2 linked regions of the Arabidopsis thaliana genome follow. The protein of the gene in region 2 interacts with the protein of the main gene of each other region in a pairwise test. Each region holds a gene or a part of one and is shown on either strand. Other genes may lie near its edges.

Region 1 (8,031 bases), on a different chromosome or scaffold from region 2:
ACACAATTCAACAAGTTTCCGGTTGGCCTTAGTTTTCAGGTTCAATTTTAAGTGTAAATTGACCATGAGAACACCTTCAAAACGTGACTTGGCAATGGCAGTTACCACAAAGAATCCAAACTTAGTATGGCTTTGATTTACTAGTGAATTATTTTGTATAGTCATATTCAATTATTTAATCGCAATAATATAATCATGAATTTGAACATTTTCATAGATATTTATCTTCAAATGTAGCAAAAAAAAAAGACTATCTAGAATTTATTCCAAGTTATCTAGAATTTTTCAGCTAAGAAAAACTTATACTATGTGACATTCTTGAACCAATCCTAATAGAACTAGTTGTTCATTGTTAGGTTTCGGCAAAGACAATGGGAAAACAATCTAGTGAGATTTGTGTCTTATACAACTCTGACGAATAAAGATACTTGAGACCTTTAATCATTGCGTGAGGTTTTCAATTTTGATACCTACAAATACAGCTAAGTCACTCCTTTATACAATCTTTGATGATCGAAGACTAAACTATCCTGAAGGTTCACTTCATTTGATCACTGATCCACATTTTAGTGTTTGGAACAATTGTGACTTTTAGGTCTAAAGAAGGAAATTTTTGGGTTATAATTTACATGCGTAGAAGAAAATATAACTATCGTGATCTATTAAATTTAAGTCTAATAATAGCTAGTGGTTACACATGTTTAGAATAACACATTAACTTCGTTTCTTGACTAATTTTACCTCAAAACAAAAAAGGTAACAATAATGTTATCCCATGAGAAGAGAAGCAAGAATCTCTCCCATGGTTTTCTCAGGCGTGTCTCCGTTGTCATCTACGTGAACTCCGGACTCTAGAACCGCCGCATCAAGAACTAGTTTCCGCTTCGCTATCTCGTAGATGTTCTCATCAACCGTCGATTTCGTCACCAGTCTGCACCAGCATTGCCAGAGTTAATACAGATATATGTGAGAATACAAAACAGAGCACACATAAACCAATCCAAACCACAATTTTGTTCTGAAAGTTATCTAAACTGATTCAAGGATTTAAAGCTCAAACCTGAAGATAGTGACTGGTTTTGTTTGACCAATACGATGGCAACGATCTTCAGCTTGCCGATCAATCTGTGGATTAAAATCCATATCGTGAATAATGACTGTATCCGCTCCGGTTAAATTAAGACCTTGTCCACCTGCTCGAGTTGACAAGAGACATGCGAATATCGACTTATCGTTGTTGAATGTGTCGACTATGGTTTGTCTATCTGTAACTTGAGTACTGTTGAAAACAAAAGGAAAATGACTTAAGCTTCTTCCTTTTTGTAGAATCGTCAAAAATGTGACAAATTACTCTTTTTTCTTTTATTACCTGCCGTCAAGTCTTCGGTATGTAACGCCGATGACATCAAGTGTCCATTCTAAGATATCGAGCATCGATGTCCATTGACTAAATATTAGAACACGATGGCCGGATTTCTTCATTGAAGGGAGAAGCTCAGCTAATGTCTGATACATAAAGGGAGATTTAGATCGCTCACAGGTTTAGTTATACTTAATCAGTTTCACAAAGAAGACTTATGAAATGAAGAAGAATATCACGTACCCGACATTTTGCTGAGAGCATGACATGTTTGTCTGAGAGAGTTCCTTTGGTATCGTTAACTCCATATTGGAACAAAAGCTATGGAAAGAAACAAGTTAGTTAGCTTCTTCAATTGCATAACATGTTTGTTAATGGATATTCAACTGCTTTTGGAAAGAGAAACATTTACCTGGTGGATACGGAAATCGTTGAAACCCTTAACTTCCTCGATAACTCTATCCAAGGAACATTCAAATCCAAATGCACCGATTGGGTGCAATTTCCTGGCGATGCGAATGACATCCTCATCGCTGTATATCCGCCTAATTAACAATGGATGGTTTGCAATCTGTACAACCAAAATTTAATAACACATGAATAACACACTCATTTGGCACAAAAGGGGCTTTGTATTAGTAGCTGAGAATTACCTTCCGGAATTGAGTAAAATAGTTTGAAATTTGACGCTTTGGAAGTGCCTTGGCTAAAGAATTCAAGGATTTTGATGAAAGCTTCACAAGCCGTGCTTGAGAAGCAGCACGATACTCCTCTATGGCTTCTTTATATGCATCTTCCTGCTTTCTCTCCATTAATACATATTCAACCTGCATTGGATTGATGGGAAATTAATGAGATTTGCAGCTAGAAGATTAATATCGTGTACTTAATTGTGCATAGATATATCCATACCCGCTGTATCTTCGGAACAAGTTGCTGCATGACATCAGATTTTAAACGCCTCAAGATGAAAGGACCTAAGATAGATTTCATTCGAGTAATCAACTCAGTATCTTCTGCATTCAACAACTTCTTCAAGTCAACATTCTCTGTCGTAAATATATCAGGCAACATGAACTCCAACAGCGACCATAGTTCCTGCATAGACCAAACATATGCAGGGAATAAGCATTGTATGACCACATGAAGAAATGTCGTCTATATTAGGTAATTAGATCCTGAAAAAATCAACAGAAACCAACCGTACATGCAAATCATTTTGTAGAGGCGTTCCTGTAAGCATAAGACGCTGGTTTGCGTTTCTGGCCACAGACATCAAGTTTTTCCACCTATAACTATTCTTATCCTTTAACGCATGGGCTTCATCCATCAAAACACAGCTCCAGCGCCACCGTTTCAGTACTTTTCGGTCATCTTTCTGTTGTTCACTGTAAAATTCCAACATCTGTGAGTAACAGGAAAAGCCAAAAAGCAAATAAAAGCATCAAGAGTTGCACCTATGCCGTTCAAACAGAGAGTAACACACAAGAAGCACATTGAATGGTGGTGGCTTCCCAGCTTTTGACAAAGAATTCAATTCTCTTGAGTAGGCTGCTCTCGCAGCTCCGTGGTATTGAAGTACAGTAAACGACGGACACCATTTTCTGAGCTCTCTCTCCCAGTTTTCCAAGACAGAGGCAGGGCATACAACCAAATGAGGACCAGGGTCATTGTTTAAGCGACTTAGGAGGGTTAAATATGTGATTGCCTAAGGTAAATGAGAACAAAATTAGTTCTTTATAAGATAAAGAAACAAAGAAAACTTATCCAGTAATAACAGAGCAAAATGCACCTGAATGGTCTTTCCAAGACCCATCTCATCGGCTAAAATGGCTACAAACAATAGAAAGTGAGTTACAAAGTGACATTCACGCTAAAAAGGTTTACAGATCGAAACTAGTAAAAACACATACCTCCTTCAATTCCTTTCTTATACAACAGAAGAAGAAAGTTAACACCAACTAACTGGTACGGCTTGAGTATAGGCTGAAAATCAGAATCCTCTGCTTTACATGCATCATCAATATCATTCTGCGATCATCACAGATTCAACCCAAAAGTAAACAAGTTTTAGTTAACAAAACAGTAAACTCTAACCAAACCAATCAAAGCTTACCACCAAAATATGCTATCTAATCAAAAGTTACTTCACAATTGTATAAGGAAGACACTCTAAATCGTCTCAAAGCAACTACTTTAAGAACACCAAAGTGATAATTTCCAGTACCTGTGTGACAATCCTGACAGTAGAAGTTTCAACTTCAGAGTATCTATCAGTAACACCAGAAGAAGTACCATAAAGCTCTTTTCGAAGATCCGCTGAGATTTTAGCACACTTTTGCAATGCCTTCCCCACAACATCTTCATCTTCTCCTCTCCTTCCTCCACTTCCTCCTCCTCCTCCTCCAAATTCATCCTCACTAGCACTACTCTCAGCCTCATCATCATCATCATCACTCGCTTCTTCATCTTCAATCACAAATCTCCTACCAACTCTCGCAGCGCGCATCACAACCTTAGTCTCTTCCACTTCTTCTTCATCCTCTAACAACAAATCCTCACCATTCACAATCTTCACATCCGAATCCGAATCTCCCAAATCCTCAATCTCAACACAATCACCATCGCTGCTATTACTCTCAATCGTCATCGCCGTCGAAGGTCTCCTAAACGCAAAAGACTCAATCGACGGCGTTGGATTCGTCGCCGCGCGAGTCTTCTTCGGAGTCCGTGGTCGTTTAAGAACTCGCGAAGCGTTAAACGAGTGTTGAGACCACTCTTCCTCGGAGATTTCGTCGAAATCGCGTTTCATCTTCCGAGAATTTACGAATCCCAGATTGAATTGAAATTGAGAAGAAGGGGAAAAAAAATTCACATGAAGAAAATTGAAAACCCTAGATTGAGATTGAAGTGACTATTATTGCATCGAATTGAAGAAGAAGAAGAAGATGAAATTAAAACGAATTTAGCGGAGAAGGAAGGGAAAGGTCAAGATTTCAAAGAAAGGTTAGAGACTCAACAACGTGTTGCTTCTTACAAAAGAGCGGCATCCTCCAAAAGCTATGCGCGCGGACTTAATCTCTTAATGGGCCCCAAGAAATGGGCTCTAATGAGTACTTAATGGTGAACTTAAGGGATCCGAAGAAATGGGCCCAACGACTTCACTTTCTCGACAAATCTAAAAGCTTGTGGTTTGTTTGACGCACTTGAAAAGGGTTTTTAAATCCATGGGGTTTGCTTGAAGATTTGGTTTTGAAATGATGGTTGAGGTGAGAAATTATTTGGTTGACATGTATTCATAATGTGGAAGAATCTGAGAGTGTGTTTCGTTGGATGGTGGATACTGGATAGGAGTCTTATAAGCTGGATATGTACATTGAGGGGTATGGTAATAGAGCTTTGGCTACGTTTGGAATGTTGCGGTAAAGATAACCTCGTCGTTCTCGATCTTAATCCTCATTCTACAGGTTATTATCATTTGTATATATATGTTTACTAGCTAATCCATTAACTCTGAAAATTAATATTAACTCTCGGAATGGCAGAAACAGAGTTGTTATTGAGTTTCTCTGACCTTGCCATCTTGGTGACGGCAGTTTCAAATACTAAATATTTCCATACAATTTTGGTTCATCTAAAACAACTGGGTCTTGGGCTGTTTGTGGTATATCTCTCCTTATATAGGCTCTTTTGTGTGCGTGACTGTGTGCTATTTCATATTACTAACTTGAAATCATATTACAACCCAATCAGGGAGGCCCTGATTGAATATGGCCCGGCACTGACCCATTGCAGTTGGTACGATCTCAGTATAACTTAAAAAGCATCGATGGTAATGAAGAGAGGATCAAGTTGAGAAGTCACCTGTTACTTAAATATGTTGTCGTTTGTAAACTAAAATAAAACTAAATTGTATAAGATTAAAAAGCCCAAGTGAAAAGGAGAAAATCAAACTTTACGGTCGAATAATAATATATCAATAATATTTTCTCAAAGCTCTTAAAGTGATATTGGAGATTTTGTGATATATCGTTTTAAAATCTATTCAGATCGGTTGAGAGTTGGTTACTCGTTCAGGATTAATTAGGTTTGATTCAAAACCAATCGGTTCGATTGTTTTGCATTGAACATTCTGAAAGGTTGAAGAATTGAACCAAAGAAGAAAAGCAATATATTAATTTTCATACAAGAATCTAACAAATTTTAAAAAATTCTCTATTGATTGGTGTATCATGTGTATTAATATACGATATGTTATATTATAAACGATTTTATTAGATAAAAACAATTAAAAAAAAGTTAGTACAACAAAACCTAATCAAGTTAAATGAAGAGAAAACGAGGGTTTTGTCTTAAAGCTCACCAGAAAGATACGAATGAGAAAAATGTGGTACCCACAACACACCCCCGCATGTGGACACATTTCACCGTTTTAACAGTGACACCCAAACCGTAACCATCCTTCTTAATTCTGTCAAATTAAATTATAAGAAAGAAAAAAAGTAGCTTTATTTTATATTAATCGAAATAAAATAAAATGATAGAGACAGAGAGGGGACCTTAGAGACATACTTTTCAAGATCATTTCATATATGGCTTATTTTTAAAAGAAGAAGAACACAAAACAGTAGAGAGAGAAAGAGATATAGAGATAGAGAGAGATAGGGCTTTGAGGTTTGTGTTTGTATTATAATACATAATATATAGGAATAGTGTCTTCTTCTTCATCATCATCTTCTATCTCATCATCATCATCATGCATCATCTTCTTCTTGGTTCTTTCTTTAGCTCCGATTTATAGCTTTTAATTTTGACTATTTTTTTTCCTTCTTCTACTTGGTTTCTTTCTCTTGATCTCAGGTACAAGAAAAATACAACTTAGAAATCTTTCCTCTTAATTCTTTCAAAAGTTTAGGAACAAAAAACAAAAGTATAAACTCTTAATTTGTTTTTCTTTGTTTATGTCTTCTAGTGAAATGGTTTTTATAAAATTTCTTCATGTCGTCAATCTCTATGGATTTTTCCTGTTCTTATAATTCCTCCCTTCGTTTTCTTCTTAACTTTTTTGTCTTACGAATTATTTGTAGATTATTCTCTTCCACGCAAAGAAGAAGATCTAAAGATGTCGTCATCATCATATAACACAAGCGTTATTCCTTCATCATCATCCTCTGCTCAGCCTTTCTTCATCACCAGCTCCGGCACCGGAGATAACGACTTTAACCGGAAAGATACTTTTATGTCAATGATTCAACAACCTAACTCCTCAGCTCCACCACCCAAGAAACGAAGAAACCAACCCGGAAACCCAAGCAAGTATCTCTTACATATAAATCTCTATATATTTATCACCTTTCTATAAGAATCACTATATATAAGCTTTAAGATAATACCAAGAAGAAAAAGAACCCTAATCATTTGTTCTATTTTGTTTTGTATATCTAGCTAGTATCAAGATTTCATATATATTGACAGGCCAGTATATCTTATATGTTTATACGTGTATATGTCATTTGATTTATGTTTACATGTGTGTGTATCATTTTTTTCGATATAGTCTACATAGATTGACATTTTGGGTCTAATTGGTGACTTAATTTAAATGATTAAATTCTTTAATTATATGAAACAGATCCTGATGCGGAAGTGGTAGCATTATCTCCAAAGACACTAATGGCTACAAACAGATTCATATGCGATGTATGTAACAAAGGGTTTCAAAGAGAACAAAATCTACAGCTTCACCGAAGAGGACACAATCTCCCATGGAAGCTGAAACAAAAATCAACCAAAGAAGTGAAGAGGAAAGTGTATCTTTGTCCGGAGCCAACGTGCGTTCACCATGACCCGTCACGTGCTCTCGGAGACCTCACCGGAATCAAGAAGCATTATTACCGTAAACATGGCGAAAAGAAGTGGAAATGTGAGAAATGTTCTAAGCGTTACGCTGTTCAATCAGATTGGAAAGCTCACTCTAAGACTTGTGGTACTAAAGAGTATCGATGTGACTGTGGTACCATCTTCTCTAGGTAACTAATCTCTATCCATTTCATTTAAATAATTTGTTCGTATTTGATTTAAGTGATGAAACGTATAATATATGTGTCAGTGTGTGTGGCATCTAGATATACCTTCTTATCTTGGTAAAGTATAACAATTAATGGACCACCTTTATTTTGTATTATAATGCAAAACTATTCTAAGTAAAAGCTGCATTCAACACTGCATGTAAAACTTAGCTTATTTACTAATTTACATGGAAAATACCAAATATATATAACCATCTGTGACTGAAATATTGTATATTTGGCCACGGAATTTGAACCTCGAGTACACCGCCTATAAATTGTATGTAGTCACAATGTACATAGGATCTATCAATGTATTTGTTTGGTTGTTGATGAGTAGTGAATAGAGAAAGACAGTGAATAGAAAGTAAGAAAATTTAAAAGATGCTAAATTTGGTCACATACTCACATGCATGAGTTGGATTTTGTTTTTCTATTTTCTACTTTTGTTTTCTTCTTCTTCACTTTGCAGGTTCCCCTTTTTACGAAACTCCTCTTCATTTGTGGACCCTCTTCTTATCTCTTTCTCTCTCTATGTATGTTTATATATACGTACATAGATACATACATATTTGGTAAGAGTGCGTTACTTATATTTATTAC
Region 2 (7,805 bases):
ATATTGAAAAATTGACGGAAATGTATTCATTGTATTAGCAAAAGAAGAGGGTAAATTATGTGTCAAATAGTGATTTTAACTTCATAGTAACTTAAACTTTTTTTTGTCAATTTGTTGACATAATTTGCTTAATTCTTTTGAATTTGAAACATATGATGCAGCATTTTGGAGTTAGAATTTAAAACAGTGTAAATTTATGATTACTAAGAACCCCTTTTCTGATATTTTTATTCCATAATTAATGATTCTAGTAGTAGAGTAGTTGAAATTAAATTCTTGTACGGTCAAGTTTCTAGCACATTAGAAGAAGATCACCTAATTTTCAAAGAAATTTAATCGTAATCTTTATGATGCAAGAAAGACTTTATTTAAAGAATATTTCCTTTATTTTCTGGTTCCTTTATTAAATTAAAAGTATATATCATTATTCCTCACCGGCATAGCTTCGTTATAAAGGAAAGGAACAGAGTTTGCTTTTAAACAAAGAGAGAAAGAAAAAAAAGCTCAAAGAACTCAGAAGAAGAAGAAAGATGTATCATCAAGAACAACATCCTGTCGGTGCTCCTCCTCCCCAAGGTATTATCTCTTTTTCTTTAGTTTTGGATAGTTGGTTTATCTTCTTCGATCTGCTTGTTTAATTTGCTCTTGAATTTCGGTTTAAAGGGTATCCACCTAAGGACGGTTATCCTCCGGCCGGTTATCCTCCAGCCGGTTATCCACCGCCAGGATATGCTCAGGGATACCCTGCACAAGGTTATCCTCCGCCGCAGTACTCTCAAGCTCCGCAGCAGAAGCAAAACGCCGGTATGCTTGAAGGATGGTACGTTCTTGATCCCATCTTTTCTACTTTATATTAACTTTATTTTGGTTTCTTGTTTTGCTTTGTATTTAGGTTTTAGTGGAATAATACTGTATTAGTTAATATATGTCTTTGCTCTGTTCATAAATACGTCACAGTTTGGCTGCGCTCTGTTGTTGCTGTCTCTTGGATGCATGTTTCTGATCGGAGGATAATTATATACGTTGCCTCAGTCAACTTTTATTTCCTCATATATGTTATGTAATGTTCAACAATCTTTCTTCTGTTGTTATCTTCTTTCAATTCGAATTTTGGTATCTTATGTTTTATTGACTCCGACCATAATTATCTCTCTCTTTCATAATCCAATCACACGAATTCGAAATAAACCAGTAAAGAAGTGATCAGAAATCTTGATGAAATATCAAAGGAGTGTGTTTCATCATCATCATCATATTATTGTAATAAGTAAACATAGCCATGGATAATGGTTCTTTTCAACCAAAAAGCTCACAGATGCTAAAATAACAAAGAAACATGAGAATTAATATCAAATGAGGTTTCTTCTTTTGCTCGAGAAGAATTGGAAGAAGGTGTAACATCAGTTTTCTGGTTGAGGATTGCCTTTCCACTTGAAGTTGTCCGAGTAAGACTTGACCTGCAGTTAGATGTTAGATGATGAACAATCATGGGGTTAGGTTAAAACTTCAATCTAAAGAATGTTCTACCAAATAAATCAAAGGAATGAAAGAGACTATCGCTCGTCAAACTAGTAGCTAAATCTTAAACTAGAGGCACCAAACCATTTCTGATGAAGCAATATGAGTTAAGTTAAAGAATATCCTATCTATTTAACACAACATTCAAGGGTCGTTCCAGTGAATCTCCAGCTTTAGGGTTAAACACCTCATATGAGTAGAGCTCGTAAGTCATAATGCGGCATTAGCAAAAAGATAGTTACTAACCTTCAATAATGGTGTGTTGGGCTTCTTGACCTGCAATGATTTAGATGTAAGTTTTTCAGTACTCTGAATTCTATATTAAGGGATCTTAAAACAGAACCATCACAATGGTGATCGAAAAAAAAAAAAAACAGAACCATCACATTCTCATAAAATGTGAGTGAATGCGACCAGAAAAAAAAATGAGCTAAAAACGAAGAAGGAAACAACGTACCTTATAATCCCAACCATGACGCTCAGCAAAAGACTTAGCAGCTTCTTCAGAATCAAAAGCAAGAGCAGAGTCACCAACATTAGCATAGGGGTCACCTGTAGAAGTCCATCCCATCAACGGATTCTCCCACCTAGAAACATATGAATGCCATAGATAAGTGATGTCAATCGAAATCTAATCAACAAGTGATGGACTAGTACTAGTCACAAGCAGAAGACTTAAGTTTTGAAAAGATAGGAATTTTAAGGATAAGAATCATATTAGGACATAAAATGTGAGGAAAAGAGGATTATCTTAATCAAAAAGTAGCATACTTTAAGGTGGAGACGAAGTTAATCTTCCATTTTCCGAGTTTTCCAGATCCTGACTGGGTAGCTGTTCTAGCAGGTGAGTATATTATCACCTGTTAATTTCCAAATTCAATACTCTTAGCACTATTCGATTGACCAAAATCAAATCAAGAACACGATGTAGCTCAATTAAGACGATTCTCTGATCACGAACCCTAATTTTCTAAACTGAATTCGTAAGAAATCGAATGCTTATTTACCTTGCGAGAAAGATGCTCCTCTGGGATTCCGGAGACCTTACCGATCTCACCACGCTTGTAATCCGACTCAACCACCGCGTCAGTAGCGAAAGGTCGAGCAACACGCCGGAGCGTCGCCGCTATACGGATAGTCCTTTGAGTAGTAGCACAAAGCGCCATCGTCAATTAGAGAAATCTGGAAAATTGCTGAGCTTTTTGATTTCGCTTTGGTTTCTTCTACTTCTGTAGATTTTAGAAAGAAAAAAAAAACACATATTTCAATCTAGCCATCAAAATTTTATAAATTACGCTTTCGGTCTTACTATTATATGAAAAATCTTTAATAGCCCCTAAACTATCTGTGAGATTTAACAACGATAAATTTTATAGATACATTATTTTTAAAAAATAGTACTAGTATATTTTATTCAGCTTGATCCTATTCATTTAGTTGGTAGGTTTTATTGTGTAATTTGATAAACTTGAGGCAAATTTGTGAATGTGGAGAAATATAGGGTTACATCTTCCTTAGCTTGAATACAAAAGAAAAGCTCAAGTTTGTTTCTCGTTTCTATGGATATTCTTCTTCCTTATGCTAGCCTCTCTGGTCTTCTTCTTCTTCGTTCGTTTCAGCGAATCACATTTGATCTATGACACATCTATACAAGGAATTAGCTTTCATCATCAAGTCTCTCTCTCGAAAACTCTCCTTTGGTTTCGTTTGATCTGGCATGCTTCTTCTCCTCCTTCCTCCTTTCTGCTTCCTTCTCTGAATTTTCCATTTTTGTTTTTAATTTTCTACGATCGCCCCATTTGAATTTGGTTGATAATTTAGCTATCGCTTTAGATTGATGGCTGTATTTCCAAATTCCTGTTGATTTGCGACGTTGTTAATGGGCTTTGATCCTCTTTTTTTGGTTCGAGATTGCTCGAATCACTCATTTTTTTGTTGAATTGAGCTTTGGGGCGTATCTAATTTCTTTGGATTTGTGTAGTTACATTTTTATGTTGTGGCTTTGTGTATCTGCTGGATTTAGATGACCAAAATTTTGTATTGGATAAGAAATGTTCAACAATGGCTTTGATGTGGTTAAGTTTCGTACGATTTAACAGATTCTAATGTTAGCGTTCACATCTATTGGCAGAGAAAAGAAGAAATTCAAATATTGATAACTGTGGATGGGTGCACCAAAGCAGAAGTGGACACCGGAAGAAGAAGCAGCTCTTAAAGCTGGAGTTCTTAAGCATGGGACTGGGAAGTGGCGTACCATACTCTCGGATACTGAGTTTAGTTTAATCCTTAAGTCTCGCTCTAATGTTGATCTTAAGGTAATACAATATAATATGCTTTTTGGAGGTTGTGATCGCGTGTTTCGGACTAATCTTGATAGTTCAAGGCATAACAGGACAAATGGAGAAATATAAGCGTGACAGCTTTATGGGGTTCAAGGAAGAAGGCTAAACTTGCGCTTAAGAGGACTCCACCAGGTACTAAACAGGATGATAACAACACAGCTCTTACCATTGTGGCTTTGACTAATGATGATGAACGTGCAAAACCAACTTCCCCCGGAGGTTCTGGTGGTGGATCACCACGCACTTGTGCTTCTAAGAGATCAATTACAAGGTTTGGTTCCCTGACTTATGCACCACATAACGATTTTCTTGAGTTCATAAAGATTTGATCTTGCGCTATTGTCTGTTTTTGTAGTTTGGATAAGATCATCTTTGAGGCAATTACCAACTTGAGGGAACTACGCGGTTCTGACAGAACATCAATCTTTCTGTATATAGAGGTATTTCTACCATTGGGATTACATGTTTGGTTGGGGTTTGTTGCATACTTACTTAGTAGCTGTTAAATTTCAGGAGAATTTCAAGACTCCACCGAATATGAAAAGGCATGTCGCAGTACGATTAAAGCATTTATCATCGAATGGAACATTAGTTAAGGTAAACACACAACTTTTGATTCAAGATTCATGATCACTAACACTTCATTACTCTCAGAATTTTCAAAAATACTTACTTGGTGATTTCTCACTTTCAGATAAAGCACAAGTACAGGTTTTCTTCTAATTTTATTCCCGCAGGTGCAAGACAGAAGGCTCCTCAACTCTTTCTGGAAGGAAACAACAAGAAAGACCCAACAAAACCCGAGGAGAACGGTGCCAACAGTCTCACTAAATTCCGAGTAGACGGTGAATTATATATGATAAAAGGCATGACAGCTCAAGAAGCTGCAGAGGCTGCAGCAAGAGCAGTTGCAGAGGCAGAATTTGCTATCACAGAGGCTGAACAAGCAGCAAAAGAGGCAGAAAGAGCAGAAGCAGAAGCTGAAGCTGCTCAGATATTTGCAAAGGCAGCCATGAAAGCTTTGAAGTTCAGGATCCGTAATCATCCTTGGTGAAACAGAAAGAAATAGCCATCATGGGGAAGTTCTGTAACAAAGCAAGCCATAAAATATATATACTTAGTGGGTTTACTGGTTTCTTAAGAGTGCCGATCTTGAATCAGGCGATATCTCATCACCTGCAGAGTTTTTTAAGTTTCCAAACCTATCTGCTCTCTTTTTTTGGTTAGTAACAGTGTAAATCCGCAGTTTGATCATATGTATGTTCTTTCTCCGAATCTGAGATTCTGTATAACTGATCTTTTATTGTATGTGGATGATCTGTTTAGTAACCTTGAAACTATTTTGAAGTGAGATGAGTAAGCAAAAAAATTGAGATTTTGTTCTACTAAAGATTTTGAGGAAATTTACAAGCATTTTCATTCTTTCTTACTACTCTCTTCCCATTCTTTCAGAATGTCATAAACTGAAAGTGAATCAGAGTCGCTAGATTCTTCATCATCATCAATCTCGAGTTCTTCTAGACCCAACGTTTCGAGTTCAGTCTCTGTAAATTCCCAAGCTTCACCATTAGCACTATTATCATCTTCCATTGTTGTATCTTGCAGAAGCAAATCTTCCTCCGGTTTTTCGCCCTGACTTTGAGTTGTTACATCTACGGCTAACAATGGTTGTGCTGAAGAAGAAGAAGACCCACATCGAGATTTCAATGACTTTGAGAGGTTTGAGACCGTTGGTTCACTTACATAATCACACTCAATGAGATGATCCGAGAGCTTATGAAGATTATCTTGAGTAAGCCAGTCTTGATGCTCCTCAAAAAGATCAGTCCATTCTTCTTCACTAATCTGGAAAGATGCGAGAGCCACAGTGTTAATCAGTGTGATAGCTCTTTGGAAATCGCCTTTAGCTGTGGCATGACACAACAGTTCAGTGAAGAACAATGGGTGAGGGATTTCTCCATCTTCAAGTACTGCATCGAAGGCATGCTCTAGAAGACTCCACTGCATTAACAAACAAAATTAGACAACAGCTTATGCTTCCATAAACACTTAAACTAGACAAAGATTTGTTACCTTCCCGGCTCTTGATGCTTCTATCAGCATTGATGCATGTTTTGTTTGATCCATTTGGTAACCAGAAAGAACCATCGTTTGATACACATGTTCAAAGTATTCCCATTGCAGTGATCTAGCTGAAGCTTCAAGCATGAAGCTGTATGTATACTCGTTTGGAACTAAATGAGTCTCTTTTCTGCTGACAATCTCTTCAAACAATTCTTTAGCTTCTGAAAACATATCATTCCTTCCGTAAACTTTAAGCATCATGTTCGCAGTTCCTATATTCGGATCACATTTATCTTTCATATATTGGAATATAGCCATGCAATCATCAACATGACCACCGTTCAATGAAGCGGCTATGAGTCCTGTGAAGGTAATCTCGAGCGGCCTGCAATTTTCAAGTCTTTTCATCCTCCCCACCTGCATTAATGAATTATGAAGAAAGTTAATTTTGTGGGTTTCTCTGAGAAGCAAAAAGGGTAAAGTAGGAGGGAACTTGCTTCGAGCATTGCATCGCACCAACGCCCGTTGTTGCACAGACAGCATGCCAATTCATAGTAAACTGAACCCGTTCCTATAACTCCCTTTTGTTCCATATCTCTGACTGCTTCAACAGCTTCTTCGATCTTGCCTTCTCTCCAGAGAGCTCGGACAAGAACTGAGAATCAATCATACGCTATAAGAATCATATCACCTTATAGATACCAAAATGAAGTAACCTAAATATACAGAGAGAATCAATATTTACCCTTGTATGTGATTGCTTTTGGAGCTTCGCCACTGCTTTTCATCTTCCTAAAAAAATCGTGAACACGATCAAACTTCCCTGACTCCAGCATAACCTGTCAAAATGACATCTTAAGACCACCCTACATATTTGAGGGTACCCACAAATACTACACCACAGCAGTTCGTTTATGTTGGAAAAAAGAACGCTACCTCCATCGCAAGCCCATATGTAGCTCCATTAGGCCTCAAACCATTTTTTCTTAACTCTACAAATACCCATGAAACAGCCTTCCATTGGAGTGTTGGAACACAAGCGTTAAGAATCTGGGAACCAGTGAAGCCAAGAATTGATCACACAGCAATAAGATACAGTGATTCGCTGCATAGTGCATATAGATATTAAACGAAGTTTAAAACTCGGAAATGCTCACTTACAGCGTTGTATACAACCAAGTCAGGTTCAAGCACAGGATCCCAGTTCTTTTGCCGCAAATTCTTAGTTAGTTTAGTCGGTTTCTGCCTCATACGCTCGATTACTTTAAGCAACTCCTTCAATAAACCCGCTTGCCCAAGTGTTACAGCAATACAGTGGTACGCCGCCATATCAGGATATAACTGGCGATCACCCTAAAGTGACTAAGGAATGAGAGTTAATCCAAAAAACGCAAGATGCTATAGTACAACGATCATCTACATCAACCATATCACGAACTGACTTAAATCAGAAGCCACTTACAAGCATCTGATTGAATATCTGAAGAGCTTCCTGTGGCCTCCTCGCAAACCCAAGAACGGACAAAAGCTTGGTGTAAACAAATCTGTAGAAACCAGTCTTGTATACAATCAGAAATCAAGTTTTACAGATTCTATGGCCATGAAAGTTGAAATCTTTTCGCCAGGAATACATTACCTGCTCCTAAGATGTTTACGCTTTTTATCAGAATACACCCAATGAACAACAGCTGAAGCTTGTTTCCAGCTCTGTTTACGTCCCAATCGATCAACGATCTTAAGCATCTGATCTTCAGTGAACTGAAGCCCTGATTGATTCATCATTCTCACAAACTTCCAATGCTTCTCATTGATTTCTCTACCACTCAATCTAAATCACACAATTCAATCGAACAATTTCTTCATGAATCAAAGTTTTGCAGA

Evidence for each region. Proteins that work in one complex are often made in the same cells at the same time.
Region 1: the proteins of TRB2 (region 2) and ETL1 interact in a two-hybrid assay, tested with the Arabidopsis thaliana proteins (one study listed by BioGRID).

The regions. Positions count from the first base shown.
Region 1 is NC_003071.7:519,622-527,652, reverse strand, and holds ETL1 (SNF2 domain-containing protein / helicase domain-containing protein), read right to left. Parts: upstream 4,431-8,031; 5' UTR 4,173-4,430; coding exon 3,588-4,172; intron 3,392-3,587; coding exon 3,274-3,391; intron 3,194-3,273; coding exon 3,153-3,193; intron 3,069-3,152; coding exon 2,818-3,068; intron 2,749-2,817; coding exon 2,568-2,748; intron 2,459-2,567; coding exon 2,273-2,458; intron 2,188-2,272; coding exon 2,014-2,187; intron 1,932-2,013; coding exon 1,773-1,931; intron 1,682-1,772; coding exon 1,604-1,681; intron 1,507-1,603; coding exon 1,370-1,506; intron 1,280-1,369; coding exon 1,061-1,279; intron 932-1,060; coding exon 769-931; 3' UTR 585-768; downstream 1-584. Other genes in the region: IDD4 (indeterminate(ID)-domain 4), read left to right, coding at 6,483-6,672, 6,993-7,389. UniProt on the Arabidopsis thaliana protein: DNA helicase that possesses intrinsic ATP-dependent nucleosome-remodeling activity and is both required for DNA repair and heterochromatin organization.
Region 2 is NC_003076.8:26,952,952-26,960,756, reverse strand, and holds TRB2 (Homeodomain-like/winged-helix DNA-binding family protein), read left to right. Parts: upstream 1-2,982; 5' UTR 2,983-3,233; intron 3,234-3,649; 5' UTR 3,650-3,683; coding exon 3,684-3,833; intron 3,834-3,910; coding exon 3,911-4,131; intron 4,132-4,215; coding exon 4,216-4,300; intron 4,301-4,373; coding exon 4,374-4,457; intron 4,458-4,554; coding exon 4,555-4,914; 3' UTR 4,915-5,189; downstream 5,190-7,805. Other genes in the region: WIH1 (cysteine-rich TM module stress tolerance protein), read left to right, coding at 531-576, 664-820, 958-1,003; FRO1 (NADH-ubiquinone oxidoreductase-like protein), read right to left, coding at 1,401-1,457, 1,765-1,794, 1,976-2,105, 2,290-2,378, 2,526-2,684; DG1 (Tetratricopeptide repeat (TPR)-like superfamily protein), read right to left, coding at 5,277-5,861, 5,934-6,341, 6,422-6,579, 6,670-6,763, 6,861-6,974, 7,086-7,277, 7,387-7,468, 7,561-7,752. UniProt on the Arabidopsis thaliana protein: Binds preferentially double-stranded telomeric repeats, but it can also bind to the single G-rich telomeric strand.